4 linked regions of the Alligator mississippiensis genome follow. The protein of the gene in region 3 interacts with the protein of the main gene of each other region in a biochemical or structural test. Links are inferred from orthologs where the notes say so. Each region holds a gene or a part of one and is shown on either strand. Other genes may lie near its edges.

Region 1 (7,921 bases), on a different chromosome or scaffold from region 3:
CCGGCGTGTCCACTTCTTCCCACAGTTTTGTGTCATCCACAAACTTGGGCAGAGTACACTTCACTCCCTCATCCAAGTCGCTGATGAAGACATTGAAGAGTATCGGTCCAAGGACCGAGCCCTGCGGGACCCCACTGCCCACACCCTTCCAGGTCGATACTGACCCATCCACTACGACTCTCTGGGTGCGACCCTCTAGCCAATTCGCCACCCACCGGACCGTGTAGTCATCCAAGTCACAGCCTCTTAACTTGTTCACCAGTATGGTGTGGGATACCGTATCGAAGGCCTTCCTGAAGTCTATGTAAACAACGTCAACCCCTACTCCTGTGTCCAGGTGTTTTGTAACCTGGTCATAAAAAGTGACTAGATTAGTCAGGCATGATCTACCTGCTACGAACCCATGCTGGTTTCCCCTCAGCATAATTTTTCCTGCCAGGCTCTCGCAAATGTAAGCCATGATAATTTTTTCAAAGACTGTACCAAGGATGGAGGTGAGACTGACTGGCCTGTAGTTGTCTGGGTCCTCCTTCCTCCCCTTCTTGAAAATGGGGACCACATTGGCCCTTTTCCAGTCCTCTGGGACCTGGCCCGTGTGCCACGAGCATTCAAATATTCCTGCCAGTGGCTGTGCAGTGACGTCAGCCAGTGCCTTCAGTACCCTCGGATGGAGCTCATCCAGGCCTGCTGACTTAAACGCATCCAGTTCCTCCAAGTGACTCTGCACCATCTCAGGGTCTACGCTTGGTAGTTTGGCACCTCTCTACCATCCCAGTGTGAGACTTGTCTTGCCCCTCGCTTAGGAACACTGAGACAAAGAGCTCATTGAGGAATTCAGCCTTGTCCCCCCTGTCCGTCACCAATTGCTTATGCCCATCTAGTAGAGGTCCTATTCCACCCTGGGCCTTCCTTCTACTCCCTATATATCTAAAAAACAATTTTTTATTATCCTTTACTTGGGATGCTATCCTCAGCTCCATGGTAGCTTTGGCCTTTCTAACTGCCTCCCTACAAGCGCGAGCAGAGGAGGTATACTCCTCTTTAGTAATCTCTCCCCGTTTCTACTTTTTATATGCCCCGCTTTTTGCCCGTAGGCTGCTCTGGATATCTCTGGTTAGCCAAGGAAGCCTCTTGGCCCCTTTCCCCCTTTTCCTCCACATCAGGATCATCTCCCTCTGTGCCCGAAGGATCATTTCCTTAAGGCACAGCCACCCTTCCTGGGCTCCCATCTCTTCAAAACTCTTACTCTGCAGTGCGTCCTTGACTAATCGCCTGAGTTCGTTGAAATCAGCTTTCCTAAAGTCTAGCACTTTCACCCTACTAGTTACCTTACCCACTCGATGTCTTATGGTGAATTCTATTATTTGGTGGTCACTGTCCCCCAGGTGACCACTGATCTGTAGGTCTCCTACCATGTCATCCCCCGTTGCCAATACCAGGTCCAGTAAGGCATTCCCCCTAGTGGGACCATATACCTCCTGCGTCAGATGGAGGTCCTGTACACAGGATAGGAACCTGCGTGAATGGTCGGACTTTGCTGTCTGCATCTCCCAGCAGATGTCTGGGTAGTTTAAGTCCCCCATGACTACCGCCTCCCTAGTTTTTATGGTCTCTGAGAGCTGCCTCAGGAGCCCTGAATCTAGTTCTTCACCTTGGTGTGGGGGTCTGTAGCAGACCCCTACCACCAAGTCCCTTTCTCCTTGACCTCCATGTAACCTAACCAACAATTCTTCTACTTTCTCCTCCTCTGATTCAGTTTTGATAAGGGTCGATGTATATCGGTCATTGACATAGAGCACCACCCCTCCCCCTCCCTTCCCCACTCTATCCTTTCTGTACAGCTTATATCCCTCAATGTGTACCGCCCAGTAGTGGGACGAATCCCACCAGGTTTCTGTTAGCCCTACTAAGTCATAGGTGTTTTCTGCAAGCAGGAGTGCTAGTTCATCCTGCTTGCTCCCCATGCTCCTAGCATTAGTGTATAGGCACTTGAGCCCTGTGACTGGTGCCTTTATTGCCCCCCGGCTCTGATACCCAAAGGGCCCCTTATTGCTTACCTGTGCTGTATTGCTGGCCGCCCCATGGATTGCAGGTTCCTGATGTTCTCCTTCTTCAGGCTGGACTGTTCTTGTGGGTGCCACATGGTTTGGTGGTCCACGGCTTCCCCCGCACTCATCTTCCCCTCCCCCCGACGAGCCTAGTTTAAAGCCCACCGGAGGAGATCCGCCAACCTAGAAGAGAACACATGCTTACCTTTGGGGGACAGGTGAAGCCCATCTCAACTGAGCATGTCTCTCATCATGATGTGCGGAGCAAGCCCCAAGCACTCAGCAGAGACCGGCTCTTGTATCGGCTCCTAGAGTTAGGCTCAGGAAGCAAATCTAGGAAAGCAAAATCTAGGAAAGCACATTTCCAAACTGAGGAGTAAGGAGCCAAGTACGGAGCCACAGACCCTGTCTTGCTTTCCCCCCCTCAGTGCCCTAGACCAGACTTCTGCCATCCCCCTAGCCCACCAGATCTGACTCCGTGGGTCTGTGAGAGCACGTGTGGCTGCTCTGGGGTTTGTATGAAAAGAAAGGGCTTGCTGGCAATTGCCACCTGCCTGTTTGCTTAGCAGTCTCCTCAGGCTGAGGAGGCACAGCCTGAGTGCAAGGAGAGAAGATAAACAGAGTTTGCCCTAGGTCCATGTGAGCAGGAGAGAGTGAGAGCAAACAGGCTGAAGGGCCATTTAAGGCAAAACTGCTTGTCCAAGGCTCAGGAACAGCACAGAGCAAACTGTTGATTAATGCTGGTGACAGAGCCAGCGCCTGGCTCCAATGTCAGCCTTATTTCTACCTCCTCATCCTGGCTGGCTAGCTCACCGGGCCTGCTGGTGAAACCCCTCAGGAGCCAGCTCAGCACCCCACAGGGGTACAGGAGGGACGGTCCAGCGGGGAGGGTGTGAGATGGGGCTCATCTCCTTGCCACCAACTTCCCATCTGTCTTTTCCACATTCTCCAAAGCACCCCAAAAAGTGCTGAGCCCCAACCCCTCTATTCTCAATGGGGCCAAGCCCCTTCCAAAGGGGAGGGGGCTTCTTTTTATCATATACATATATCTCTATATGTACATGTACGTATATAGCTATATACAGAGAGAGAGAAAGGGATGTATAGGTGTATAAAGATAGATATATATGTGCATAGCGATATCTCTATAGATAGACATATATCTCTATACACATATATATCTATAAATCTATACACATATGCATCTCTATATATCTATATACGTATAGATATATCTCTAGATGTAGCTGTATCTATACTGAGAATATATCTATATAGAGATATTAGATATATAGATCTATACATATATATATATATAGAGAGAGAGAGAGAGAGAGAGAGAGATTTGGTCCCTCAAGGCTCTGTCCTTGGACCTATATTATTCAACATCTTCATTAACAATGTGGACACTGGAGTCAGAAGCGGACTGGCCAAGTTTGCCGATGAGTCCAAACTCTGGGGTAAAGCATCCACACCTGAGGACAGGAGGGGGATCCAGGCTGACCTTGACAGGCTCAGTAAATGGGCAGATGAGAACCTGATGGTGTTTAACACCGAAAATGCAAGGTTCTCCACCTTGGGAGGAAAAACCCGCAGCATCCCTATATGCTCAGCAGTGCTACGCTGACTAGCACTACAGATGAAAGGGACTTGGGTGTCACGATTGACCACAAGATGAACATGAGCCTGCAATGCAATGCTGCGGCTAGTAAAGCGAGCAAAATGCTGGCTTGCATCCATAGATGCTTCTTGAGCAAATCCCGGGACGTCGTTCTCCTGTTGTACTCAGCCTTGGTGAGGCCGCAGCTGGAGTACTGCGTCCAGTTTTGGGCTCCACAATTCAAAAAGGATGTGGAGAAGCTTGAGAGAGTCCAGAGGACAGCCACGCGCATGATCAGACCTTGTGACAACAGGCTTGAGAACCTGGAAAAGCGCAGGCTCAGGGGTGATCTGGTGGCCACCTATAAGTTTATCAGGGGTGACCACCAGTATCTGGGGGAAGGTTTGTTCATCAGAGTGCTCCAAGTGATGACAAGGTCAAATGGTTATAAACTCCTGCAAGACTGTTTCAGGCTGGACATAAGGAAGAACTTCTTTACTGTCCGAGCCCCCAAGGTCTGGAACAGCCTGCCGCCGGAGGTGATTCAGCCACCTACATTGAACGCCTTCAAGAGACATTTGGATGTTTATCTTGCTGGGATCCTGTGACCCCAGCTGACTTCCTGCCCTTCGGGCGGGGGGCTGGACTCGATGATCTTCCAAGGTTCCTTCCAGCCCGAATGTCTATGAAATCTATGAAATCTCTGTATCTGTATAGATACATATAGATCTATACATGTAGATCTATATAGAGATTTATATCTATGTAGAGAGATACATGGATATATAGATCTATACATATAGATCTATATAGAGAGATTTATATCTGTGTAGATACATGGATATATAGATCTATGCATATAGATATATATAGAGAGATTTATATCTGTGTAGATACATGGATATATAGATCTATGCATATAGATATATATAGAGAGATTTATATCTGTGTAGAGAGATACATGGATATATAGATCTATATATATAGACATACATAAAGAGAGATATATATCTATATGTAGAGAGATATATAGATATCTCTCTATATCGATATTTCTCTATACATATAGATATACAAATACAGATCTATCTACATCCATATATTTATCTCTCTCTCTAGATATACACACATCTACACAGATCTATAGATCTATATCCAGCCACACACACGCAGTGGGCGGGGCCTCAGGAAGGGGGCGTGCCTTCCCCTGCCGCGCTCCCGTGGTGCCCCGCGCTCAGGGCGGGCCGGAAGTGCGTGTGGTTCCGGGTCGGAGGGCGCGGGCGGGCGGACGGACGGTCGGGTGCTGTAGCCGCCGCCGCCATGGCCGTGCCGGGGAGCTGCCTCCCGGGGCAGACGCCGAGCCGGGACATCCCCGCGCCCTCCGGCGCCCCGCGGCTCCCTCCCGGCAACTACAGCAGCACGCCCGGCGGCACCGTGTTCGGCACCACGCCCGGCGGTGAGCGCCGCGCCGCGCCGCCCTCCGCCCCACACGTGTCCCCCCCGGGCGGGCGGGCGGGCGGGCCAGCTCGGGCCTGGGCAGGGCAGCCGTGAGCACGGCTGGCGGAGTGTTTCTCAGTCCCCGTCCCGTGGGCTTGGCAGAGCGGGGGGACGGGGGCGGCGCATCCAAATGGCTGTAACAATAAGTCGGTGCCCGCGCCGCAACGCTCTGCGCTGTGCTGCGGCGACACGGCACGCGTGACTGGTGCCTCCCGTGGGGCACCCCCGGGCGGAGGGGCCCAAGTGTAGCGGGGGCACAAGCACTCTCCATGCCCCCCCCCCCCCGACTAGCCGGAGCGCTCGCTGTCAGAGGGGCCATGTGTCCCCTTCCCCCCCCACCCCGACGTGACACGGGCTCCGGTTGCTCTAAGTAGAGTTGGTCCCGGGGCTGCTGTGAGCATTGGGGCACCTTATGCTGTAATAACTGGGTTGGAGTCGTAGACAGCGAGGGCGGAAGGGACCTCAAGGGGTCACCTCTAGGCCACCCCCCTGCTCCAAGCAGGACCAGCCCCAGCTACATCATCCCAGCCAGGGCTAAAAAAACTTGCACAGATGGTGACTCCGCCACCTCTCTGGGTAACGTGGTCCAGGGCTTCGCCACCCTCTTAGTGAGATTTTTTCCCCCCTAATATCCAACTTCGGCGTCCCTTGCTGCAACTCGAGCCCGCTGCTCCTTGTTCTGTCATCCGCCCCCACTGAAAGCAGCCCGGCTCCAAGGCTAGTTGAGCTGCTTTGGTGATTCTTTGGGCAGAGCGACCTGCTGGCACCCGTCTCTTTTGCAGGTACGGGTGGCTGTCGGCTCACAGGGGGCTCATCCACCCTTTTTAACAGCTCTTGTTTCAAGTCCTGCTGGGTGTCCGTACATCTTCCTCACCTGGGCCGGTCACCAGTGGCCCCACCATGGAACAGGCTGTGCTGGTTTACATGGTACCAGACAGCAGAGGAAGAGAGGCCTGGCCTGATGGGAATTTCACATTATTACAGCTGTTTGGACACATTGTCCCTTTCCCTCTGCTTTGCCACGCTGTTGAGAGAGCGTAAATGCTGTGCAGCGTAGCTACCGATGGAACACGCTGTAAGTGAGAATGCTGGCTGATGGGAAGTTGCTAATTCAGCAAGGGATCAAAGACAATCAGGGAATTAAACTGCTGAAAGGAGTAGTGATTCAAAAACACTGAAGTAGCGGGGCAGTGGGGCACTGACTTCCCTTTTTTAAGCGATGGTCTGGGAAGGTGAGCATATGAAAATACACCTGCAGTTCTTTTTTTATGAGAAAGTATATAGAGAATTAAAACACTTTGTCACGTATTAATGTGCTTGGCTGCTTGTTGCCCTCCCTTTTATTGTGGCCGGTGGCTGCCACGTGTATTTTCTCATGCCTGCTACTCTGGCATTAGAAATGCTTGGGATTTTGGCATTTCTCTGCTTAGTTCATTGGCAGCTGAGTCTAAAATATACGTTTTCAAAGTATCACCAGAAATGAACCAGGCTGCAGGCTGGGCTGAATGGAATGAATGCTATTAGAGCCCTTGATGCAGTGGAGTCTCGCTGACCTTCCTTGTGCTAATCCGGAAACCTGCTGGTTCTTGCTAAATGCTGCCTTGCCACGCTGTGTCATGAGCTTTCTGTGATGGCGAGTGTGCTAGTTCACTATCTGGTTTTCAGCATCGCTTGTTTGTTTGGCTTGATAAACCCTTGTTCTTTTGAAAGCATGTAACACACTGTTCCAGTCCCCTGGCCAAGGCGCTGAAGTACTGTGAGCAGTAAATTATGTTGCTCTTGTCAAAATAAAGGGCCCACTGAAATTTGCCATGCAAAACCCTTGAATAATGTGCATAGGCAGCTCTTGTGCACCTCAGCTTCCCTGGTAGCTCCACTGATTTCAGTGGCACTGGGTACTGAAATGTGACATTTTGGGTTTATTGCTAGATGCTGAAATATACTGAAGCCCTCCTTGGACAGTGAGCACATTTAGTCTGGGGCAGAGGGAGCTTGGAATGTTTTCTGGTGCTTTGGGAGTTTCTTTTCCCTGGATTTACAACAGTTTTACCTGCTTCTGTTCTGCGTGGTTCTGATAAGTTAGGCAGTTCAGCGTGCTTTGTTCCCCTGCTGTTTCACTTGCAGGGGAACAAATAATAGTAGAATGCAGGCAAAGGCCAAGGGCATGCCTGTGAATCATCTCAGGATGGTAGTGGAACGGAGTTGCTCAGGCAGTCATATGACAGTTAGATGCGTTTTGTTTTCTTGGAAAAAATCTGTCACCCTCATTCTGTAGCAGTGTCGACATGAGGAGTGGGGGTGTTGGTTGGTTGTGATTGAAGCAGTTCTTTAAAGCCGTAGGCTAGGGAAGGCTTGTGGGTGTCAGCACCTGCAGGCTCTGGGGAGGAAGCCTGAAATGAAGGCTGAAGATGGGAATGGTGAAGTATGCTTGTTCAGGTGCTGGATATTGCAGGGTTGTTTTTTACTGCCCTCCTTCCCCAACTCCAGTTTTAGGGAGACTCACCTGCATTCGACTTAAAAGATGAGCGTTTTATTGATGAACTAGCCCCAAGGTGACTCCCAAAGAGCTGTATCCCAGAGCTGCACTGCTTGTGCCCCTTGCACATGATATTGGCTGTAGCTTGCTGCCCTGGGTGAGGTCTGGGGAGCCCTTTCCTGCCCTGCAGCATTCAGGCACAGGCTGGGGGCCGCTAGACATGCCGAAGGATTCAAAGGCATCTTCTCAGCACTGTTAGCTTATCCTCCTGGCTCTGTGAGCCCCTTGGAGCTAGGTATG
Region 2 (7,159 bases), on a different chromosome or scaffold from region 3:
TGCCTTGGGGGAGTGAGTTTAGGTGTCCTATAAATCCTTGTGGGGAGTTGTATCCCATAATGCTCTGGGTATGGTCCAGGTATCCCACAGTACACTAGCACAAAATATCTAGGTATCCCAATCTTGCCCTACCAAGATGCTAATATCCCATAATATTGTGTGGGTGTCATGTGCCATAATGGCATGGGGTGGGGCAGGAGTCACATAATGCCCTGGGAGATGGTGTGGGGTAGGTATCCCACACTTCCTTGGGGATGGGGGAAGGATAGGTGTTCCCATAAGGCCCTGGAGGGTACTAGTGTATCCCACCATGGCATAGTAGAGATTTAGGTATGCTATTATGACCTGGGGCAGGTATTTAGGTATTTTCAACCTTTTTTTAATAAGTGTACCCCCAGCGGCCAGATGCAGGGAGGTGGGGGGGGGGGCGCATGGCATACAGCTGGGTGCAGAGCAGCAACAATGCAGGGTGGTGGGTAGTAGTGGCCACTGCATGCAAGCTTCCCCCCCGCCCCGTATCCGGCCAGCTGGGGAGTGCCTGTACAGCCTGCAGAGGGGTGCCACTACCCTTGCCTCCACTCTCCGCCCCAGCTCTGCTTTTTGCAGGGTGGCGGTGCTTCGTCCTCTTGCCCTCATGTACCCCCTAGGGCCTTCCCAAGTACCCCTGGCAGTATGCGTACCCCCAGATGACAACCTTGTAGCCTTCTATGACCAGGTCACACTGCCTGGACGCGGGAGCTGAGGCTGATGTCATCTTCCTGGACTTTAGGAAGGCCTTCGACACAGTTTCGCACCCTATCCTCATTGGGAAGCTAGCAGACTGTGGAGTGGATGCCTACATGGTCAGGTGGGTGGCCAACTGGCTTAGGGACCGCACCCAGAGAGTGGTGGTGGATGATTCCTTCTTGGCCTGGAGGGAGGAGGGCAGTGGGGTCCCGCAGGGTTTGGTCCTCGGACCGATATTACTCAATATCTTCATCAGCAATTTGGACGAGGGCGTGGAGAGCACCCTCTCCAAGTTTGCTGATGATACCAAGTTATGGGGCAAAGTTAGTACACTGGAGGGCAGGGAGCAGATTCAGGCTGACCTGGACAGGTTGGATCAATGGGCAGAGAGAAATAGGATGCAGTTTAATAAAGATAAATGTAAGGTACTCCACCTGGGAAGGAGGAACCCCCAGCACACCTATAGGTTGGGGAGTGTCCTTCTCAGCAGCTCGGAGGCAGAGAGGGATCTTGGAGTCATAATTGACTCCAAGATGAACATGAGCCAGCAGTGTAACAAGGCCAATCGCACTTTGTTGTGCATTAGCAGGTGCATGACTAATAGAACAAAGGCGGTGATGCTCCCCCTCTATGTGGCACTGGTCAGGCCGCAGTTGGAGTACTGTGTCCAGTTTTGAGCCCTGCACTTCAAGAGGGATGTGGGGAATCTCGAGGGGGTCCAGAGGAGGGCCACTCGCATGATTAGTGGCCTTTGTGATTAGACCCTACAGGGGGAGGTTGAGAGAGCTGAATCTCTTCAGCCTTCACAAGAGACAGCTGAGGGGAGATCTTGTGGACACCTATAAATTTATTAGGGGAGGTCAACAGGGAATAGGAGAAGTGCTGTTTACTAAGGCGCCCCAGGGAGTGACTAGGAATAATGGGTGTAAAGTAGTTGAGAGTGGATTTAGGTTAGATATTAGGAAGAAATGTTTCACAGTAAGGGTGGCCAGGATCTGGAATGGGCTTCCAAGAGAGGTGGTGCTATCACCTAGCTTGGAGGTCCTCAAGAGGAGGCTAGATAGTCACCTGGCTGGGGTCATCTGACCTTGGTCCTCTTTCCTGCCAGGGGCAGGGGGTCAGACACGATGATCCATTGTGGTCCCTTCCGACTCCTACAATCTATGAATCTATGAAACCCTTGCCATGGGGGGTGGGGGGAGGAACAGGTCCCATAGTGCCCTGGCATTTGTACCTGTGCCTGGTTGTAGGTGGCAGTGGCCTGGGCCCAGGCGCACTGACACACATTTTCCAGCTCCTCCAGTTCCAGTGCTTGCAGCCCTAGCACCACCTGTTGCTGCTGCTCCAGTGCCTCTGGGGGTGGGGTTGGGGGGGGGCATTACTGGGAGAGAACCCAGGTATTCAGGCTCCCAGCCCTTCTTGCTTTTACCCCCCTAAGCCCCATTCCCCTCTCAGAGAACTGAGGAGTCTGGGCTCAAAGCCCCCACTTCCCTCCCAGAGAACCCAGGTGCCCAGGCTCCGAGCCCCAATGGAACCTTGGCACGTAGACTCCAAGCTTACCCCCCATTCCAATCCCCCACCACTACAGAACCCAGAGGTCCAGGCTCCCACTGCTCAAGCCCACCAACAGCACTCTCCCTTCCCAGAGAACCTAGGCATCTAGTTCCTACCAATCACCGATGGAGTCCCTCTCGGCCTGGGCCTGGTTCTGGGCCTCACACTGCTGGTCCAGCACCTGGTGCTGCTCATTCTGTTGCTCCTGGCGCCGCACTACCACCTCTGGGTCCTCACCCTTGAAGCACTGAAGCCTGGCAGGGCCAGGGGGGCCCTGATCCTCCAGCTCTGCGGCCTGATCCTGGGCCTGCTGCTGGGCCCAGGTGGCCTCCAGGGCCCGTCAAAGCCCCCATGCCTGTTCTTGCTTCTTGGCCTCCAGTATCTGGGCCACCTGGGCACCCTGCAGGTGCACTACATCTGGGGGAGAAGGGGTCAGAAATCTCTGCTCCAAGGGAACCTTGGAATCCGGGTGTCCCTGGGGCCTGAATTTTTTTTTCCAGGCTCACCAAATGCCTCCTCCCGGCATTTCTCAGTCTCCTCTCGCAGCTTCCGCTCAGCCACTTGGCATTGAAGGGCTTCCATGTCTACCTAGATGAGGGAGAGAGGCAACGGCAAGATGGGTCCTGGATGCCTGAGCTCCCTTGGCTCTGATCCACCAGACCGTATCCCTCCACCAGACAACCCAGGTGACTGGGCTTTCAGGCCCTCCTGCCGCCCCGCTCTCACCTTCGCAGCCCCCACACTCGCCTCCTGGAGTCCCCTGGTGTCTGGGATCTCAAGCCCCACTTCTCTCACCCCCTCAGCCCCCACTCCCCTCCCAGGGCACCCAGGTGTCTGGGCTCCAAGCTCTTTTGCTCTACCCCAACAGACTCCATTCCCCTCTCAGGGAACTTAAGTATCTGAGCTCCCAGTCCCTCCCTGGTCCAACCCCCCCTAGCCTCTACTGTCCTCCTGGAACAGGGAGGGAACCCAGGGATCTTGACTTATTCCCATGCGGCAATAGCGAGGGTTGAAGATCTGTGTCTGACGCTGACGCTCCTTCTCCCTCTGGGCCTCCAGCACTGCCCCCACCTTGTGGGGCAGGTCTGCCTTGTACATCCTGGGGGAGGGGGTGGAAGTGTCAGTACCAATGGGAGAGAACCCAGCACCTCCTGCTCATCCACCAGCCCCATTCCCCTCCCAGAGAACACAGGTGTCCAGGCTCCTACACATTGGCCTCCCTCTACCCTCTCAGAGCCAGGAAAGAACCCAGGCACCTGGGTTCATGACCTAACTGTCCTTCCCTGATCTTTTGACCCCTTCCACTCACCCTTACTTGCCCCCAAACAAAATTCCCTTTGCTTCCTGACCTTTGACTTTTGACCCCAGCCTGTCCCCAGTCTCCTCTGCCCTTTGACTCCCAATTTACGTTGGTCCCTCTTGACTTCTGACCCCTGTCTTCACCCGTATTTTTGACCCCTGTGCTCTCTGACTGAACCCTCCTTGCCCTGCTCCGCTTTGTCTCCGAGGCCTTCTGTTTAAGATCCTCGTCTCCATGGTAACAGGCCAACCCATTTCACCTCAATCTCCCCTTCCCATTGGTACAGCCCAACCGCAGTTTTATGCAAATAGCGGGTTCCCCGCGGGCCAATTAGGAACGAGAGTTTGGGAAGAGTTTATTTGCTTGTTATGCAAATAAACATCCCTATTAAGTAGAAGGGCGGGAGCCCGAATGCAAATAAGGCCCGGCGCCTCGCGGGCTAATAAGGAGGAAGAAGCGGCCAGCTATGCAAAACGACCCCGGGAGCGCCGACCAATCTGAGGAAGCCTTGGAAAGAAGCCCTGCCCTTTTATCTTGGACTAGTTCCTCGCGAAGGCCGGTGCTCTCGCGAGATTTCCTTATCTTGGCGGCAGCGGCGGGCCAGAAAACAGTGAGGGGGTAGGGCTGTGAGTCGGTGCTCCGGCGGGTCTCAGTAGGGCCGGACGGGACGGGACGGGACGATCCGGTCCGGTGTCTCGCCACCATGGGATTCCTCAAGCTGATCGAGATCGAGAACTTTAAGTCCTACAAAGGGCGGCAAATCATCGGGCCTTTCCGCCGCTTCACAGCCATCATCGGGCCCAACGGCTCCGGTACGCGGGGCCTGCTGGAGGACCTCCCCTACTCTAGTGGGCAGCTGGGTGTTACGGCCCAAGGGGGACGTTTAGCTTAGCGGCGGGCGGCTGGAATGTACCACTGAGACCCCTGTAGGGTGAGGGGCTGAGGGGGGTGGTATAGTCCGGAGGGAAACTTTCGTTTGGTGGCAGACGGGTGGGATGTTCCATTGAGACGCGGTGGAAGGGTCCACGGATGAGTGGGTAGGCGGGGGGATAGGTCACCCTTGGCTTGGCGGTGGGCAGTTGGAATGTTCCACTGAGACCCCTGTGACGCACGCTGGAAGGGCCCTTGAAACTCTCCTCTATGCTGGTGGAAGGGTACAAAAGCATTTCTTCTCCCCCCCCCCATATTGCGGCACTAGGTGCCATAGGGGACTTTCCCCACATAGGAATGCTATTGCCCACAGAACTCCCCCCACCCATGACATGGATGGTACAGTCCATTGGCACCCCTCTCCCCCCATCCCACATTAAAATTGAACAGACTGTGGCTCCTGGGGAAGGGTATGGCTCAGGAACCCCCTGTGATGCATCTCCCATCCCACAATGCATTGTGCCTGCCACCACCCCCTGCAACAGGGGTCTTTCCCCCACAGGGATCCTCCGACAATGCATTGTTTATGCCAATCTTCCTGCTATCCCATGAGGCCTTGCCCTGTTGACATACCTTCCCACAATGTATTGCTCATGCCAACCCCTTCTTGCTGTCCTGTAAGACTTTGTCTCTCTGATCCCTTTTGCTGTCTCACAATGCATTGCTTATGCCAACTCCACCACTGTCCCATAAGGCCTTGCCACTTGATTTGCGTTATTTCCACAGTGCATTGTGTGTACTGATCCTTCCACTATCCCACAATGCATTGCTCATGCAATTCTTTCCCACTATCCTATAATGCATTGCTCATGCCAACCCCTGAACTCTCATGAGCCCTTCCTTGCACCAATCTCCTATCCCAAAATGCCTTCTCCACACTGAAATCGTATCACTCAACATACTTCATGTGCCAAACACTACTTCACTATTCTATAATGCCTTGCTCTGACTGCCCCATCCCTGCTATCCCATAGTGTATTGCTTATGCTACCCTTCCTAGTATCTCATGATGTCTTGCCTGCATCAGTCCCCTGCTATCCCACAATGCCTTGCCCACACTGAGGCTGCACCCCACAGTACACTGCACCTACCAATCCTCCTACTATCCCACAATACCTTGCCTGCGCTGACCTCCCTTCTGTCGCACAATACCTTGCTGGTTCTGCAGGGAAGTCAAACTTGATGGATGCCATCAGCTTCGTGCTGGGTGAGAAGACAAGCAACCTGCGGGTGAAGACTCTGCGGGACCTAATCCATGGGGCACCAGTAGGGAAGCCGGCTGCCAGCCGCGCCTATGTCAGCATGGTGTACGCGGAGGATGGCGCTGAGGATCGCACCTTTGCACGTGTCATCGTTGGTCAGCTTAGGGGTGGAGCTTGGGGATGGCACAGTGGGGAAGGGGTAGGGCTTGAGAGCAGGGGGAGGAGCATAGTGGGGAAGGGGTGGGGCTTGGACATAGTGCAGGGCTTGGGAGAAAGGGGAGGGGTTGAGGGTGGAGCTTGATAGGGTAGGGCAGAGTGCGCTTCTGGGCTGGAGCAGAGGAGGGTGGAGAATGGGTGTGGCTTGGTTAGGGGGCAGGGCTTGGAAAGGGCAGGGCTTGTGGGTAGGGGTGCAATGTGGGATAGTGGGAGGGTGTAGTTTGGGGCTGGATATGGGGCTTGAGGAAGGGATGGTGCTTGTCAAACTGAGGGAAAGGGTTGGGCTTTAGAGAAGGAGGAAGCTTGTGGGCAGGGGAGGGGCCAAGTGGCAAGGCTTGGGCAATGGTCAGACCAGGGGAAGGAGCTTGGGGGAGGGGAAGGGTTGGAGGGTTGACACTGAGGTTGGGAGGATGCAGACTCCATTCCCTCCCCGTGCTGGCCTTGACCCCCACCTCTCCAACTCATTAGGCAGCTCCTCAGAGTACAAGATCAACAACCGGGTGGTGCAGTTGAGTGAATATAGTGAGGAGCTAGAGAAGCTGGGCATCCTCATCAAGGCGCGCAACTTCCTTGTCTTTCAGGTGGGGGTGCTGCCTACCTGGGATGGGGCAGAGGAGGAGGAGGGTTATGGGGCTCCATTGTGCAAGGGGTGGAGCTGGGAGGGAGGGGGAGGGGTATGGGACTTGTGGTGTGAGGAGTCTTGGGTGTATGGGGGAAAGGGGGGCCCAATCCTGGCTGGGGCTTGGGGGGCATCTTGGGCCTGATCATGGGGGTTGGGAGGTGTATTCTGGCCCCAATCCTGCTGGAGGGTAGGGTCTTTCAGGGCTAAATCCTAGGATCTGTGGAGGGGGGAGGTTCTGGCCTTAATCCTGGGTTTTTTGGGGTGGTTCTGGGCCCTATCCTTACTGGAGGGGCAAACTGGTGGTATGCTGGTGCTGATCTTGTCTGGGAGGGTCCTCGGTGTGATACTTCAGTTTGAGGAGGTCCTGTCCGTGATCTTGGGGATTGGGAAGAGGATCCTGGGCCTGGGAAGAGGTGGGATCCTGGGGCCTGGTAATGATGCCCTGACCTTGTCTTCCATTGGCCCGGGTGGCAGGGGGCAGTGGAGTCGATTGCCATGAAGAACCCCAAGGAGCGCACAGCACTCTTTGAGGAGATCAGCCGGGCTGGGGAGCTGGCTCCTGAGTATGACAAGCGCAAGAAGGAGATGGTGAAGGCTGAAGAGGACACA
Region 3 (7,530 bases):
CCAATTTGTTTATGAGAAGGTCATACAGGACCTGGTCAAAAGCACTGCTGAAGTTCACTATATCAACAGCATTCCCGTCATCCACCCACAGAGTTACACTGTCAAAGGAAGAGATCAAGTAAATCCACGCTGACTGCTTGTGATCAACCTTTTCTCCTCTAGACGCCTGCCAGTGGACTTCCTTAGGATATGTTCCAGTAACTTCCCAGGTATTGAGGCGAGACTAAGTACACTGTAGTTTCTCAGGCCCTCTTTTTTGTCTTTTTTCCGGTCCTCTGTTACCTCGCCCACCACCCCTAACTTTATAAATATTATTGCTAAGGGGACCAAAATCTCCTCTGTCAATTCCTTTCATACCCTGGGATGATGTTTATCAGACTCTACAGAGTTGAATTCATTCAGACCCAATACTCTTTATTAGGTGTCTGGCTCCAGCTTAAATGTTTTTATGACATCTAAAGCAAAGAAGCATTGAGTAGCTCCACCTTCTTTACATCTTCTGATTAGAGTGCCCCCCTCCCTGTTACTTAACAGTAGGCCTACAGCTTTCTTGATCTTTCTTTTATAGCCCAAATACTTATAGAACCTTTTTGTTGTTTTTCATCTCCCTCACCAGGTGCAGCTCATGCTTTATCTTTGCCTACCTGATTCTGTCCCTGTAGGTTCTTACTACTTCCCAGTAAGCTTTTTAGGTGACCTGTCTAGTTTTCCATAGCCTGTACGCTTTCCTTTTGCACTGGATGCATCCTAGAATCTCCTTGTGCTGTCACATTGGTCTCTTGTCATTTTTCTTGCGCTTTCATCATGTCAGAACAGTTTTTTGGGGGTTTCCAATGCTGTGCACTTTAGAAGCTCTCAGCCCTCCTGGGTGCCTTTCTTCTTCAGGCTATCTTTCCAAGGAACCATGCCTATTTGCTCCCCGAGCTGGGTGAAATACACCTGTTTGAAATCTAGCATCCTACTTTTGCTGATGCCATGCTTTCCTCATCTCAGGACCTAGAATTATATCAGATTGTGATCACTTCCTCCCAAGTTGCCCATCACCTTTCACATCCTCCACCTGTTATTTCCCGTTGGTCAAGACAAGATCCAAGACAGATGAGCCCCTAGTTGTATCCTCTACTTTCTGGAACAGAAAGTTGTCTTCCACACAAGTTAGGAATTGGCTCGACATTTTGTGTTTGGCTGTATTGTTCTTTCAGCAGATGTCGAAAAATTAAGTTTCCTATCCCATAGCTTTTGGAGACACCTTCTCTTCCTGATTTTGTGGCCTACAATAGATCCACACCATTATATCAGTGCTGCATCTTTCACCTTTCCTCTTCACGCAAATCCATTCTGCTCCGCTATCTTCTTCCTACTGAGTCCAGCAACAAGCGTATGTTTTTGACATAGAAGGCAATACCACTACCTTTTTTCCCCAACCCCATCATTTCAAAACAAAGGGTAACCCCCTCAGTGTTGACATCCCAGTAATAAGAGGTGTCCTGCCAGGGCTCTGTGATACCAATCAGGTCATAGTTCTTTTCACAGGCTGCAGTCTCCAGCTCTTCTTGTTTCTTCCCTATACTTTTTGCATTTGCATCCACACATCAAATGTATTTTGTATTCTGACCTATTCACTTCCCTTCTGCACCACTTGTTGCTGTCCTGTGACTCACTAGTGTCTTCCCCTCTGCACTATGTGGCTTTTTTGTTCACCATCCCCGCTGAACCTAGCTTAAAGCCCTCCTTACTAGATTGGCCAGACCATGTCCAAAGATGCTCTTTCCAGTTCTGGTCAGGTGGATCCCATCTCTTGATAGCAGGCCCTCTCCCAGAACATCTGCCTGCTGTCAAAGAATCCAAAGGCTTCACATCAACACCCCGGTCCCAGCCACATGCACTTCCAGGGCATGATGGCCCCTGCTTGCCTTACAAAGAGAGGATCAACCAGAACGTCATTCGTGCTCCCAGATCATTTATCCTCCTGGCCAACTTAAGTAACAGATTGTAAGCATAAGCACATTTGTTGTCACATGTATCACCTCAGACCATTGAGCAAAAAGATAAATAAAATAATGATGTAAAATCTGCGTTTTCCCTCATTTTGTGCTGATAGTTATTTTTTTGTAAACCTTTGAGATTAAACAGACAGACAAACTGGTTTGAGCCAAATCAGTTAAGTCTGATACTACACTCAACCAGGTTTTTCTCAAACTGGTTTATGTGCCCTGAACGTCTGTTCTGTTATAGGTTTAAACCAGTTTCTGATCACTTAAACCAGTTTAAGTGTAATGTCTGTCCCTAGCCTAAAAAAGAACTAGTCCGGTTTCACATCTGCCCCTTGTCCATTTTTGTTCAAGGTTCTGGAGAAAGCCGAAAACAATGATTATTATTGGAAAGTTTTCAAAATCATGTAAATATTTGTGTCCAGCTTAAAAACACTGTTGTCAAGAAGCCAAATTTAGAAACACCTCTTTAACTGGCAGAATTTACCTGTCAATGCCCTTCATGGGGGGGGAGGGGGGGCGAGATTTCTGGCAGAAGTGACAAACGAACACCACACCCTCCCCTCAGCACAACACCCTCCCCGGAGAATTAGCTGGCTGCTCTTTCTGCTCTTTGCTCCCCACCCGACCTGCTGCTCTGCTTTCTGCCTCCTTCCCTGCGTGCCCCCGCCCCATCTTCTGCTCTGCTTTCTGCTCCCTACCCTGCCTCCTCCTGCGCTGCCTGAGCCCTGTGCCCGCTCCGCCAGGGCCGCACGCACGTGCCACAGGCGGCCTCCCTGGCTCGACTTACACGAAGTCCGAGCCGCTGCCAGAAAGAACCGCTAACGCACCCGCCAAACCAGCTCATCAAACCCTCCCCGGCCTCGCACCCGCTCAAGCCGTCAAGCCGCGGCGCCGTGCAGCCGTGGGGAGCGCGGAGGCCTCCCCGCACTGATGAGCGGCCCGGCCGTACGAGCGCAGCCTTAGTCCGGCCCCACCGCTGCCACGCGCCGCCGCGGGCCGTTACCGCGGCAGCCCCACCCGCATGCGCACTACGCCTGCCTCGCAGCACCAGCGCCAGCAGGGAGGGAGGGGTAGTGCCGGAAGCGGTTGTGCAACTGCGGCTTCCGGCGGAAGGGGCGGGGCGGGTTGCGCGGGTGGCGTTTCCGCGCTCTGCGTGTGGTGCGCGGGGCGGCCGAGCTGCGAGTGCCGCCGCCCGCTGGGGCCATGCTGCTGCCGTCCGACGTGGCCCGCCTGGTGCTGGGTGAGTGCGGCGAGACTCCCTCAGCGCGGCCTGTGTCTGCCTCCGCGGCCTGGCCTCAACCCAGAGACCCGCCCCGCCCCGGCTCCCTGAGGCCTCGCGGTGCTTTGGCCCTGTGGGGAACCCGGCGCTGCCCGGGGGGCTGTGCGGCGTCGGGACCCGCCCGCGTTGTCTCCTGGAGTCTGAGGAGAATAAAGGGGGCGAAGGAAACGAGCCGCTGGTGCGCGGGCCGCCAGGAGGCGACGCGGGGGGGAGGGGTGCAGCACTCTGGCTGCGCCGCTGGGACAGAGCCGGCCAAGCACAGGGCAAAGCCGCTTCCTCGAGCGGCAAGTGACATGATTGAGGCTGCCGACCCCCACAGCCTTTCTGGCTCTGTCTCCACCTTGCAGTTGGTCCAATGAATGATCGTCCCTCCCCCAAGAAATCTGCTCTTCTCTCCCCCCCCCCCCAGCATTGCTCTGGCTGCCAGGCCAATTGTGCGTTTTCCTGTGAACTGGAAGACCAGCTTGAGAGAGCCTCCTCCTACCACGGGCTGGGAGCCTGCACCTTCGAAAAACATGATTGTGAGGTTCAGGGCTTGTGGTAGAGGTGATACCTTTTATTAGACCAACAAGAATTTTGCAAAAAAAAAATTCTTTCATTGCAAGCTTTTGGGCACAAACACCTTTCATCAGGCATTGGAGAAAAGATTGTAAAAGTTCTTTTGGATAGGAATGAAAGTTCGTATTTCATAGGATTTCACAGATCACAGAGGAGTCCATAGATGAAAAACTCCTCTGGGCAGGCAGGTCTTAGCTGGCTAAGAGTCTCTGCCCTCTTTTGTGAGGCTCTGTGATGATGCAAATTAGCTTGAGCAAAAGCAAGAGCAGTGTTTCAGGTGGTCACAGTTGCTTCCTCTTTGGGGAAAATATGAAGATTTAATTTCAAAATCGGCTAAAATTTGATAACTTTCGTGTGTCAGGTTTTGCAAAAATCTTGTTGGACTAAAAGATATCACCTCTACCATGAGCTCTGATTGCTTTTTCCTCTATACCAATATGGCTATAGCCTGGATGCCCGCTTGTGGGTTAGCATAACAGTAGAAGGCGGTCACTTTAAAACGGTTATTTTGGGGGATTGCTGCATTTCTGACAGAGCCCTTTAACTTTTTCAATACAAGAATGAGAGGCCAGGAATTGAAAAGTCATAGGCTTCAAACCTATGGAGGCATTGTAAGCAGTGCGTGTAATGAGACTTAATTAAAGTTGTACTAGATCTTATCTTCTGTTGCTCATGGCTTGGCCAAATAGGCTCAGTTTTTCCGAAAGGTGCATTTGCCTCCAGCTGGATCATTTCTAAAGTCCTGTTTGAAATGCTGGAGCTGTTTCAGAGAGCTGAGTTAGGTGGGGAAATCTATTGCTTTGGTTATATTAAAAAATAAAACTTACAAACTATTAATCTGATCTCAAGAATCTCTGCTCATTTAGCATCTCATTGCTACCTGGCTGCTACCCTGTGATGCTGTGAAAATAAACTTATTAATATTTGTAGAAAAACTAAAATGAAACAGCAAAAGCACTGGAGAAAATTCTGCAAGAAAATTAGGATTTTTGTGGGTGGTAGCTGAGGAAGACCTGACAACAAAGGGTGCTGCGGTTCCTAAATCTCCTCCATATCCCTTCCAACTATACAGTTGGTCCAATAAAAGATACCACCCACAAAAATCTTTGCTTCTCACATTTTTCCTGGGCCATCACAGCTACAAAATCACCCCAGCACTATTGCAAATAAATTATTGCCCCTTACGACTGCTTTTGGATTCAGTAAGTAAGGCACAGGGCATTGCACGATAAGGAAACAAAAACACAGAATAGCTGCAAACGCAGAGTGTTGGTCATTCTGTGTGAAATACAGGGGTCTATAGAAAAATATTTTCTGATCATGGAATGAAATAGGAATGCATAATGCATGCACACGAGGGATCAAAGTCATATTTTACAGGCAACATTAGCTTTGGCATTTCCTAACTTCTTGGTGCTTGATTTTGTAATTTGTCTATGTGCATAGCATATATATCCTTAACTGTTGTAAGTCAGAGATGTAAGATATGGTTCTACTTCCTTTGACCCACAGAACACATTTGCAAAACTTAAAAAATGATTGTAATATGTTACATACCAGTTAATCACTTTTGGGACATGTGTAACTTAAACTTCTGTAATGCACAGCATTGAACAGTTAATAGAGTTTTTTGGGGTTTTTTTTAGCTTTCATTGTGCATCAGATACTGAACACTATTGTGGACACGGTGGAAAAAGTTTTTGGTCCTATCTCTTTGTCAGTTCAAAGAATACTATTTTCTACGTGATAATTTGGAGTTAACATGTTTGGTAGTTGAATCCCATAAGAGACATTTAAAGCCAGAGTGGCCAAATCACCAGGGGCCAACCATCTTCAGCATAAAATAAACAACATGCCATACTAACTTTTATGGCTCAGTGGTCTAGAATCATTCATTCAGATAGTTTTTTTCCTTTCTGTTTGGTACCTGAGTTACTTGAATGTTAATATAAAATATTAAAATATCATTGGTTTGAGACTTTTTGGAAGGTGGAAGGAGTTTTTCTGTATATATCATATTAAGGCTGGTGAGAGAGCCCGAGTTGTAGGAGTACCTAAAGTATAGCTGATTCACCAACTAAAAGCAAAGTTATAGCATGGACATGTGTTGCTTTTCCCATGTCTATAAATATCTATAATGTCATCTTTTGGGAGAAAGAAATCATGTAAAATATTTTTATATTGCATTTGTTTTCCGGGTTTGGAACTTCAAAACGTGCACAAAAACACTTGCTTATTGTATGGCAATGTCTTTTAAAGTTTACTGCAGAGTACCATTTTTATTTTAAAACTGGAATATTCAGCTCACATTTGACTTAGTCACTTGAGGCAAGACCTCTATTTTTTGCCTGTAGGGTACTGTGCACACAAATGGTTTCATTTAACAATCATTTCTTAGCTGAAGAGTTATTTATGTACATGTAGCATGGTGTCAGTAAAGCTGTGTGACATTATCTACTGGAGAGATGTGTAGAAAGGTAGCTATTCTTTCAAAACATAACACAACTCGTGTTTTCTTGAGTATTTGTCACTTGAGTGCTTAGATGATTGCACAGTAAGCTTACTGTATTATGCTACATAATTGTATCAGTGCATTGACACCTATCAAGTGTACCTTGTAAAAAAGTGAATCAAATCACATACCTTTGTCTTATTTACTGCAGGATATTTACAACAAGAAAAACTTTCAGCTACCTGTCGTGAGTTTATATTGGAAAGCTCAGATTTAAAAGAATATGCAGAGCACTGTACAGAGGATGGGTCTGTTCCAGCTTGTTTATTGGTAAGTTTATATTTGAAGCACGTGAGATAGAGTTGAACCCTAGTACATTCCAAAATATGTACTTCTAAAATAATTTATTTAAGTTTGCACAGACTTCTATGCTTTCAGAATGGTTGTAACATCTGCAGTGTTCAAGACATTTAAACAGTACGACCGAGTAACTTTTTTTTGGTACCCTGCATAAGGGGTTGTATATGAACAGCTGTTTTTTCCTACATTCTTAATATAACAAACATTGGACATTGACCCAGACACTGACAGTTTTACAAATCTAAGAATAAAATAAGTGAGCGGTATTCATAATGTACAGTTACATGTTTTGTTATTGTAAGCAAGGAATATTGCCTTTGATACATATTTCCAGGAGTTAAGTACTATAGTTATTCAGACAGTTAAATCACTTGTACCTGGTTAGATACCTGATCAAGATGACATCCCTGCTGCAAGCTCTTGATTGAGAACATAACCGATTTTTCTGTTGAATTTGGGATAGGAGGCTTGTCTCAAAATTTAGAAGATGCACTTGAAATGAATATGGGCAAGGGGAAGAAATCTGTTTGCTGTAATTACAGAATGATGTATCTGCTTGTATGGACTCTCCTCAACTGACTTGCACCTTGTAGGAAGAAAGCTTTGGGAATCCCATGGGGGTTCTAGGCAAACTATAGAATGGGTGACAACTCTTGATTCTCAGTGGCCACATCTACATGAGTAGCCAACTGCGCAGTTGTTACTGCTCAGTCATTTAGTACTTGCTTAACCAAGTACTAAATGACTGTGCAGTGATCAGCGTTATTGCGCAGTCCCGTCGCCACATGGTTATTTTTAGATACTACTGCACAGAAGTAACAAGCTAGTGTACAGTAGCTTTGCCATCACAGTTCGTGCCTTGTGACACTACGGCACAGTAGCTCATT
Region 4 (7,993 bases), on a different chromosome or scaffold from region 3:
TAACCTCAGCCCTGGTTCCCAAGTTATTATAGGGCCTAGCTGTGACGGAGCACAGGGTGTGCCTGTCACCCACAGGGGTTTGAGCAAACAGCCCGCAGGTGGGAGTAGGCCCAAGCAGGTGGTCACATGTCAGACAGAAGGCTGCCTGATTGGTGGAGAGCCTGGGTATAAGGCAAGGCCCCAGAGCAATACAAGCAATTGCTGCAGGGGCTGAAGGAGCAATGTCACCCAGCCAGCTTCTGTTCCTGGAACAGCTTGGAGGTACAGAGCAGGGACTAGGGATGGAGGAGGTTCCTAGAGCTTAAAACTATGCCCTGCTGAGGAGGATGGTGCAGTGGGGCAACTTCTAAGAATTGCCACACTTGTGCCTCCCCAGTGAAGCGCGAGTATGAGGTGCCAGAAAGCCTCAGCCCCTGCTGCCGTGTGGGTGACCCTGTGGAGGGAAAAGGCTAGGGGAGCACACCCCAACAGAAATGTGCAGGGCCAAGGCCCACTGTGTGGAGCCTGAGGTGGGGTCCAGGCCATGAGAAGGGGGCCTGGATGCAGCCTAGGTACACTAAGTGAGGCCTGAGGCTCACTAAGGAGCCGGGTGTTGAGGCTCCGGGGGCCCAGGGAGTGAGGGCTGCAAGGTGGAGGCCCAGGGATTTCTAGACCGGGTGACGCCAGGTGGTACAGCTCAGCAAGGGAGTCAGGAGCATTTGTGAATGTCAGCTACGAGGCATGGGATACAAGGGAAGGCTCAAAGCTGTGTATGCGCCCTTGGCAATGAAATGGGTAGCCTCCCACCTGGGAAAAACAAAGACATCAAAAGTGCGGCAGGGGAGGCAGGTGGGTGGACTGCCCAGGACAAGTGAGCGGGCCAATGTTTACACGCCCTGGACTGGCCCACTTATTACACTGCCACAACGCCAGCCCTAGCCCCTTTGTTATGATAGGACCTTCAAGAAGTACCAGCCTCAGCCCCGCCCACAGCCATCGTCTTATTGTAGGGCCTACAACCATCTCCCTTCCTCCCCCCCCACACACACACCAGGGAGCTCCCTGTTGTTACAGGCCCTACCAAAGCCTCCAAAGCCCCCTTGTTGTTATAGGTCCTACCAGAATGCACCCAGCTCCTTGTATAGGCCCTACCAACCCACCCACCCAGCCCTTGTTGTTATGGACTCCACCACCACCCCTGCCAGCCCTCCTCCTACAGGCCCTACTAAAATCCCCCCCCATCCCTCATGTTATAATGGACTCTATCAAACCTCCCCACAGCTCCCTTGTTGTTTATAGGGCCTACAGTAACCCCCACCACCATCCACTTTGTTACTGTAGACCCTAGAAAAACCTGCCACTCACCTCCACGCCATCTTTTTTTCTTCACCTCTGACTCCTGAGCCAACTGGGCCCCAGCACCCATCCTACGCCTGCATGGGGTTGGTGTCTCCTCCACGGTCAGACAGTGCAGGGGGGAGGCTGCAGATTCCCCAGGGGGCAGCAGGAAGTACTGGCAGCCCACGTCGCCAAACAGCAGGGTGTCGCCATGGGCCAGAGCGTAGCGGACGTGGGGCTGGAGCACGGCACGGCCGCGCCGCGTGCGATTGAGACTGCCACGGTCCCAGAGCAGGTGTGGGTATCCAGGCCCAGGCCTTGGTGCTTCAATCACTGCATGCAGCTTGGACACGGAGGGCACCGGCAGGTGCACGGGGCAGCTGGGGAGACGTCCGACCACGTTCTCACCAGGGTAGATCCAGATGTCTGCGAGTGAAGGGAAAGCCCAGGTGTCTGGGAAGGGTCCAGACTCCCACCCCTGCCAGTGCATACACACATGCACGTGTATGCACACTCAACCCAAGCATCTGGGATGCTCACTTGCACAGATGGACACTCCCGCAGCCCTCACAACACAGACTCTTTTCCAGAGAACCTAAGTGTCCGGGTTGCCAAACCCCTTGGTCTAGCTGACCAGGCCCCAACTCTCCTCCCAGTGCTGGGAGAGGACCCAGGCTCCCAACCCCCTTCTACTGCCCAACCACACATACGTGTGCATGCGTGTGCACCACTCCTCTCCCATAAAACGCAGGCATCTCAGCTCCCAGCCCCTCCCTGGTCTAATCCACCTGCCCCCGCTCCTCTCCCAGAGGATCCAGCCCCCCTCCTCTCCCCTCCCAGGGAACCCAGCCGTTCGGCAGGCTCTCCCCTGGGGACATGAGCCCCACATCTGGCCCCAGCTGGAATGGGCTTGAACCCCAGGAAATAATGCCTTTGTCATGAATCACCCTGGACACCAGCTTCCTCAGGCAGTGGGGTTACCCCCAGGTGCCGGGTTCCTCGTATAGCGGGGTCCCCACCCCTGGCACCAGTCCAAAACCGTGTCCAGTTGTGGCCCCCCACTCCAGCAAGGATGTGGACAAGCTGGAGAGAGTCCAGCGGAGGCCGATGAAAACGGCTGGGAGGCTGGGGCGCACAGCCTGCGAGGAGAGGCGGAGGGAACTGGGCTCATTGAGTCTAGAGGAGAAAAGACCAAGGGGGGGGATTTGACAGCAGCCCTCAACTCCCTGCAGGGGGGCTGCAAGGAGGGTGGAGCCGGCTGGTGCTCAGTGGGGGCAGACGACAGGACAAGGAGCGAGGGGCTCCAGGTGCAGCAAGGGGTCCTGGGGACGAGGCGGTGGAGTCTCCATCCCTGGAGATGTTTAAGACCCGGCTGAGACGGTCTAGTTGGGGCTGGTCCTGCTGGGAGCAGGGGCTGGGCTGGACTGGACTGGACTGGGCGTCCCTTCCCGCCCCCGCACGCCTGCGCCCAACGGACATCGGGGCTCCTACCTCTCTCCGGGCCGTGGCGGCCCCCCAGCACCCGCAGCCTCCCCACGGGGCGCCCGGGGTCCGCGGGGGCCTCGTCCTCCTGCTCCTCCTCCCACTGCAGCAGCTGCGTCTGCTCCATGGCCCGGGCCGTGCCGTGCCCTGAGCCCCCGCCACCTCGCCCCGCCCCTGACCTTTGACCCAATCCCTAGTTCGGGGGCGTGGCCCTCGATCCCCCCCCGTTCCCGCCCCCTGGTGGGAGCCGGGACTCGCCGCCCACCCCTGCCAGGGCCCCGCGCCCGGGCGCTGGAGCCACGGAGCCCGGACGTGGCTGCCTAGAGAGGCTCCATGGGACCATAGAGAGGCGGGCTGCGATGAGCTAGAGTGCCTAGCTCTCTGCGGTCCTCCACAACATGGAGGCCAGTGTGCAGCATAGAGTGCGGAGATAGCGGGCTAGAATGTCCACACGGGGTCCTCCCCAACATGGCGCCCTAGCACTCCTACCACACCAGTGACCATAAAGATACCTCATGCAGCACGCCCAGGGACATTAAGCACAAGGGTGGGCGGGTAGAGTGACTGCCTTCGCCTGCCACAAAATGGCCGCCGCCTGGCCATAGAGAGGGAAAGCTAGAATATACACATTTGGTCCTCCAGAGTGTCTTTTTCCTCATTATCCCCACATTCATTAATGAGAATGACCTCACTTTGCACCATTTTTAGCCACTGAGGAAGCCTGGGCCTCTGAGCAGCACCTGGGCCGAGCCCGACCCCACTGGAGCTGCCCCAGAGGCCCTGTTACTGTGAAGGGGCATCTGGCATTGCCAGGCAACAGTCTGGTTACTAGGGCTGCCCTGGGTACCATGAAGGGGCATCTCAGGGACATCTGGTGTTGCCAAGCAACAGGCTGCTAACTAGGGCTGCCCTGTGTATCCTGTGTTGTGTCCCAGTGTTGCTAGGAGACACGAGGGTCATTCCAGTGTTGCTAGGCAGCCTACTGGCCAGGGGCTGCCCCCAACCATCCAGGCCTGGGGCCACGGCTGCTTCCAGCTCACCTACCAGCCCCCCATGCTCACCAGGGGACACCCCCCCACCCCCCCAGAGAACCCAGGTGTCAATCGCAGGGCGGGCAGGGCCAAGAGCCGGGGGGTTGGGAGCCCGGACACCTGGGCCCTTTGTGGGCTGGGGGAGTTGTGGGGCAGGCGGAGCTGAGAGCATGGACTCGGGGTCCTCAGCAGGGGAAGAGGGAGCTAAGGGGGTGCGGGGTAACAGCCCAGAGGGATGCCTGGGATCTCTGGGCGGGGGTGGGGGCTGGGGAACGAGAGCAGGGGGAAGCTGGGAGCCCGGTAGGGTGGCCAACATAGAGGACAGTCCGGGTGTCCTCTATTGATACACAACCGGACGCCTTCTTATCCTATATTTTTGTCTTGAAGAAAACCAGAATGTCCTCTATGATGGCCCCGAGAGCTGGGACACTTGGGTGTCTCCCTCCCCCCCTCCCTCAAGGGTGGCTCTGGCCCTACCTCTGCCTCACCCGGGGCTTCTCTCCCTTTCCAGATGAGCCGGAGGGAGCCCTTCTGCCCACGTGTCTGGGACGCAGGCATCCAGTACCCAGGTATTCGGGACAGACGGAAGGAAACGCAGAAGCCCGCGGTTCAGGGTACCCAGGTAGGCGCCTACTCAGAACCCAGGTGTCCGGGAGAACAGCCCCCCCTCCCCCCGCACAGATCCTGTGTCCAACACTGCCCCCTTCCAGGTGCCCAGGACCCAGATGTCCAGGCCACCAGCCCCCCACTGCTCCCTTCCCCCTGAGAAACCAGGTGTCTGGGATTTCACCGCCCCCTGCTCCCACCTACCCCTCACAGAGAACCCAAGCATCTGGACCCTCCCAGAGAGCCCAGGTGTCCAGGGCCCGTGGGTGCACACTCCCTCCCTGGAACCTGTGTCTGGGGCCCACCCAAGTGTCTGCCATGCACTCCCAAATGGCTTTTGATACCGTCCCCCTCCCTCCAAGGTATCCAGGGCCTGCACACAGAGGACCCAAGTATCCAGTACACACAGACAGACAGATTCAGGGAGCCCAGATGTCCAATGTGGGCAAGTAACCATGCAGACTTCTCAAATGCAAGACCCATACAGAGAACCCATGTTTCCAGGATTCCCACCCCCAGTGGACTGAGGCCACAACAGAACCTACTTTAAAAAAATTTCCTGTTTTTATGCTTTCACAAGATGCCATCTTTTCAATATGAGAAAAGCTGTTAGGGGAAAAAAATAAAACAGAGCAGAGCAGACAGAAGGAGAAAGAAAGACAGGATGGGCATGGAGGCTGTCAGCTTTGTGCTAGTGCCAGGGGTGGGGGAACCCACAGGGTGTGGTCACGGCACCATGGCCACTGCTTCCCTGGCTTCCCCAATCTCTTCCTCCAGGGCCAAGCTGGTCTGTTGAGTTCATCAGGGCTGAGAAGTTGCCTGGAACAGGGCTGTCTGGAGCCTGGAAGCTGGGTTGTGGGATGGCAGGGCCTGGCCCAACTCTTCCACGGTGCCACTAGACACTGGTGGCATTTCCTAGGCTTCCCCCTGTAACCAGATCACAGCCTTTTCCTTTCCCCCCCTGGACCTTCCATTGGGGGTGAACAAGGGAAGAAGACCCCAGCCCCACTCTACCCCCTCTCCTCAAAGTTGTTGGCCAGAGAAGAAGTCTTTGGAGACCCTCAATACCCCATGGCTCTTCTCTTTCTCTCCAAGGAAACAGAGCTGACTGGGTTGGCCTAGGAGCACCCGTCTTTTTTTGCTTGGTTTGCTCTCAGTAGCCTGAAGATGGTCTTTGTCTTCTCCCCTGGGTACATTTTTCACTGTAGGGCAAGGTTTGGGGGACTAAAAGCCAACTCAAAACGCAAGGGGAGGCACCTGCATGGTAGAGCAAGGTGCTGGACCCCACAAAATAAATAGATACAGACTCCCCAGGGAAGCTACTACCCCAGCAGAAGCCACTCTGGTTACATGGGCACCAAGGAATTGGGCTCTCCAAGGAGAAAGAGGGAAGATAGGCCCTCTGACAGCTTCATCATCATCTCCATTTTGGGTGGGGAAAGAGCAGTTCATTCCCTAGGTCAGGCAACAAGGAATTCTTCCAAGACTTTGAGTGCTTTCCAAGGTACCCTTGCCAACCAGCTGGGCAGACCTGAAGGAAACCTCTCCAGAAGAAGCCAACTGAGAAGTAACTCATCAGTACCATCCACCTTAACATGGAGGTGGGTCTTCAAAGGTGGGGAGACTTTCTCTAGTCCTGCCAGGACTGTTTCAACCCTTCCACTGTGGTTCATTTGAGTCTCGTCAGGGCAGTGCCTGTGAAGGAAGAAAATGGAGTCCACACATCCCCATGCCCTTCTCCCAGCCTACTTTTCTCACACCCAGAAGACCTTTTGTTTCTCCAGCTTGGGGCCCTTCCTTGAAAAGCCTCCCCACCCCCTCTAGCTAGAACCAATATTTGGCCTTGAAGAAGAGTTCCCCAATGGAGAACCAACATTGGGACATTTAGGAACTTCCTCAGATAAAACTGTACTCAACTCTCCATTTCTCCAAACGAAAGAAGAGAAGATCACCACTCTAGGCACCAGGCACACAACTCTACTTTTTCTAGTTTTTAACGTACTCAACCTTTTTTCATCTTGGTGCCTGCCCTGGGCCCAAGGCAGTCCGGGGCTGGTGTGGGGCTAGGGGTGGCTGTTTATCAGGGGCCACCGGTGCTGGGCAATGACCCCGGGCATGGGGGAAGGGGCAGCTGCACGGGCGCAATGGGCCCCAAGCCCAGGCCCAGCTCTGCTCTGTCCCAATGCCTGCCTGGTCCCAGCCCCAGCCCCAGCCACCCCATCCACATGCTTTCCCCTCCCCCCACAGACTTTCCCGTGGGCACATGCAGCTCCCCCCACAAAATTCTTTTTCTCCCTTTGTGTGTACATGCGTGTCTGTGTCCAGCCAATCTCACTGACAGTGGGTTGTCCCACCAACCGATCACTGTGGCCCCTTCCATAACTGGCTGTGGCCACTTCTGGGAGCACCACCACAGCACTCCCCACCCCAGCTGGCGCTTACAGCGGGGGCACCAACGCTCCTGTCTGCCCCCCCTGCCCATCGCCTAAGTGGCAAGCATGGATGGTCAGGGGGTGCACTTTTGCTCTCAGGGAGTGCATGTGCACCCCCATGCACTCCCTAGGAGTCACCACTATGTGCATGCATGCACGTGCATACCTGTGTGTGCGTGCGTCTATTCATGGCAGGAGATAGCGTGTTTGTTTCTGTGTGTCAATGTGCAGAGAGTAAGTGACAGTAGTATGCGCCTCTGTGTGTGTGTGTGTGTGTGTGTGTGTGCGCGCGCGCGTGTGCATGTTTCGCCATAGTGGAACAGGGGAGCAGGGAGAAGAGGGGAGCATGTACCCCCCCACCCCCAGCCCTCCCTGCCAGCACCAGGAGGGGAAGGGACGATGCTTCGCCCTCACCTGACCTCCACCCTGTCATTCTTGGTGAGCAATTGGCTAGTATACCAATAACAGCCGAGAGGCATTGGGCGTGGTAAAAGGACAATTCGGAGCCACGCAATTAACCCATAAGGCTTTAAGTGCCCTGCCAGGCACAGTTGATTGCAGGGGCCTAGCCAAGGGCCTGAGAATATAAAGGCCCAGCCACAGGTTTGAGGCCAGTACGACCGGGGGCGTGCAATGGTCCATGGCCAGCCTCCCTTTATATTTATTTATAATCCGTAAAGGTGTGGCAGGAAAGATAGGGGGCATGCCCTAGAAGTCAAACAGGGCATGGTCACAGAGCCACCAGGGGGCATCACAGCCACCCCTGGTTCCCTGACCTGCTACACTATAATAGGGCTGGGGGGGACGGGGGTAGAGTCTGTAATAACAAGGAGCTGGGCTGGAGGTTTGGTGGGGCCTATATAAGCAGCTGGGTGAATTCTGATAGGACCTATAACAACAAGGGGGCTTAGGCAGCTTTGGAAGGGCCTGTAACCAGGGGGCTGTGTGCTGGCAGGGGGAGGTTAGGGCCTATCAGAACAAGGAGGTTCAGGGGCAGGGCTGAGTAGGCTCTACAAAAAGGAGGGGTGTGGGGGTGGGGCTGGGGCTTCTTGTAGGTCCTATAATAACAATATGGGCCAGGGCTGGGGTCATGGCAGGAACTTGGGGTTTTGGTAGTGTAGCAAG

The links.
Region 1: of the proteins of ATM (region 3) and EIF4EBP1, one has a biochemical effect on the other in vitro, tested with the Homo sapiens proteins (2 studies listed by BioGRID, with this or other methods). The link is inferred for Alligator mississippiensis from reciprocal best matches to the Homo sapiens genes ATM and EIF4EBP1.
Region 2: the proteins of ATM (region 3) and SMC1A form a complex in vitro, tested with the Homo sapiens proteins (2 studies listed by BioGRID and IntAct, with this or other methods). The link is inferred for Alligator mississippiensis from reciprocal best matches to the Homo sapiens genes ATM and SMC1A.
Region 4: the proteins of ATM (region 3) and mediator of DNA damage checkpoint protein 1-like form a complex in vitro, tested with the Homo sapiens proteins (2 studies listed by BioGRID, with this or other methods). The link is inferred for Alligator mississippiensis from reciprocal best matches to the Homo sapiens genes ATM and MDC1.

Annotation. Positions count from the first base shown.
Region 1 is NC_081830.1:18,437,610-18,445,530, forward strand, and holds the start of EIF4EBP1 (eukaryotic translation initiation factor 4E-binding protein 1), read left to right. Parts: upstream 1-4,912; 5' UTR 4,913-4,968; coding exon 4,969-5,104; intron 5,105-7,921. UniProt on the Homo sapiens protein: Repressor of translation initiation that regulates EIF4E activity by preventing its assembly into the eIF4F complex: hypophosphorylated form competes with EIF4G1/EIF4G3 and strongly binds to EIF4E, leading to repress translation.
Region 2 is NC_081831.1:28,313,700-28,320,858, reverse strand, and holds the start of SMC1A (structural maintenance of chromosomes protein 1A), read left to right. Parts: upstream 1-4,143; 5' UTR 4,144-4,283; coding exon 4,284-4,392; intron 4,393-5,678; coding exon 5,679-5,867; intron 5,868-6,396; coding exon 6,397-6,509; intron 6,510-7,024; coding exon 7,025-7,159. UniProt on the Homo sapiens protein: Involved in chromosome cohesion during cell cycle and in DNA repair. Central component of cohesin complex. The cohesin complex is required for the cohesion of sister chromatids after DNA replication.
Region 3 is NC_081824.1:436,970,262-436,977,791, forward strand, and holds the start of ATM (serine-protein kinase ATM), read right to left. Parts: upstream 3,014-7,530; 5' UTR 2,822-3,013; exon of another isoform or gene 2,782-2,821; intron 1-2,781. Other genes in the region: protein NPAT, read left to right, coding at 3,198-3,234, 6,495-6,613.
Region 4 is NC_081834.1:57,359,356-57,367,348, forward strand, and holds the start of mediator of DNA damage checkpoint protein 1-like, read right to left. Parts: upstream 3,011-7,993; 5' UTR 2,927-3,010; coding exon 2,809-2,926; intron 1,744-2,808; coding exon 1,345-1,743; intron 1-1,344. UniProt on the Homo sapiens protein: Histone reader protein required for checkpoint-mediated cell cycle arrest in response to DNA damage within both the S phase and G2/M phases of the cell cycle.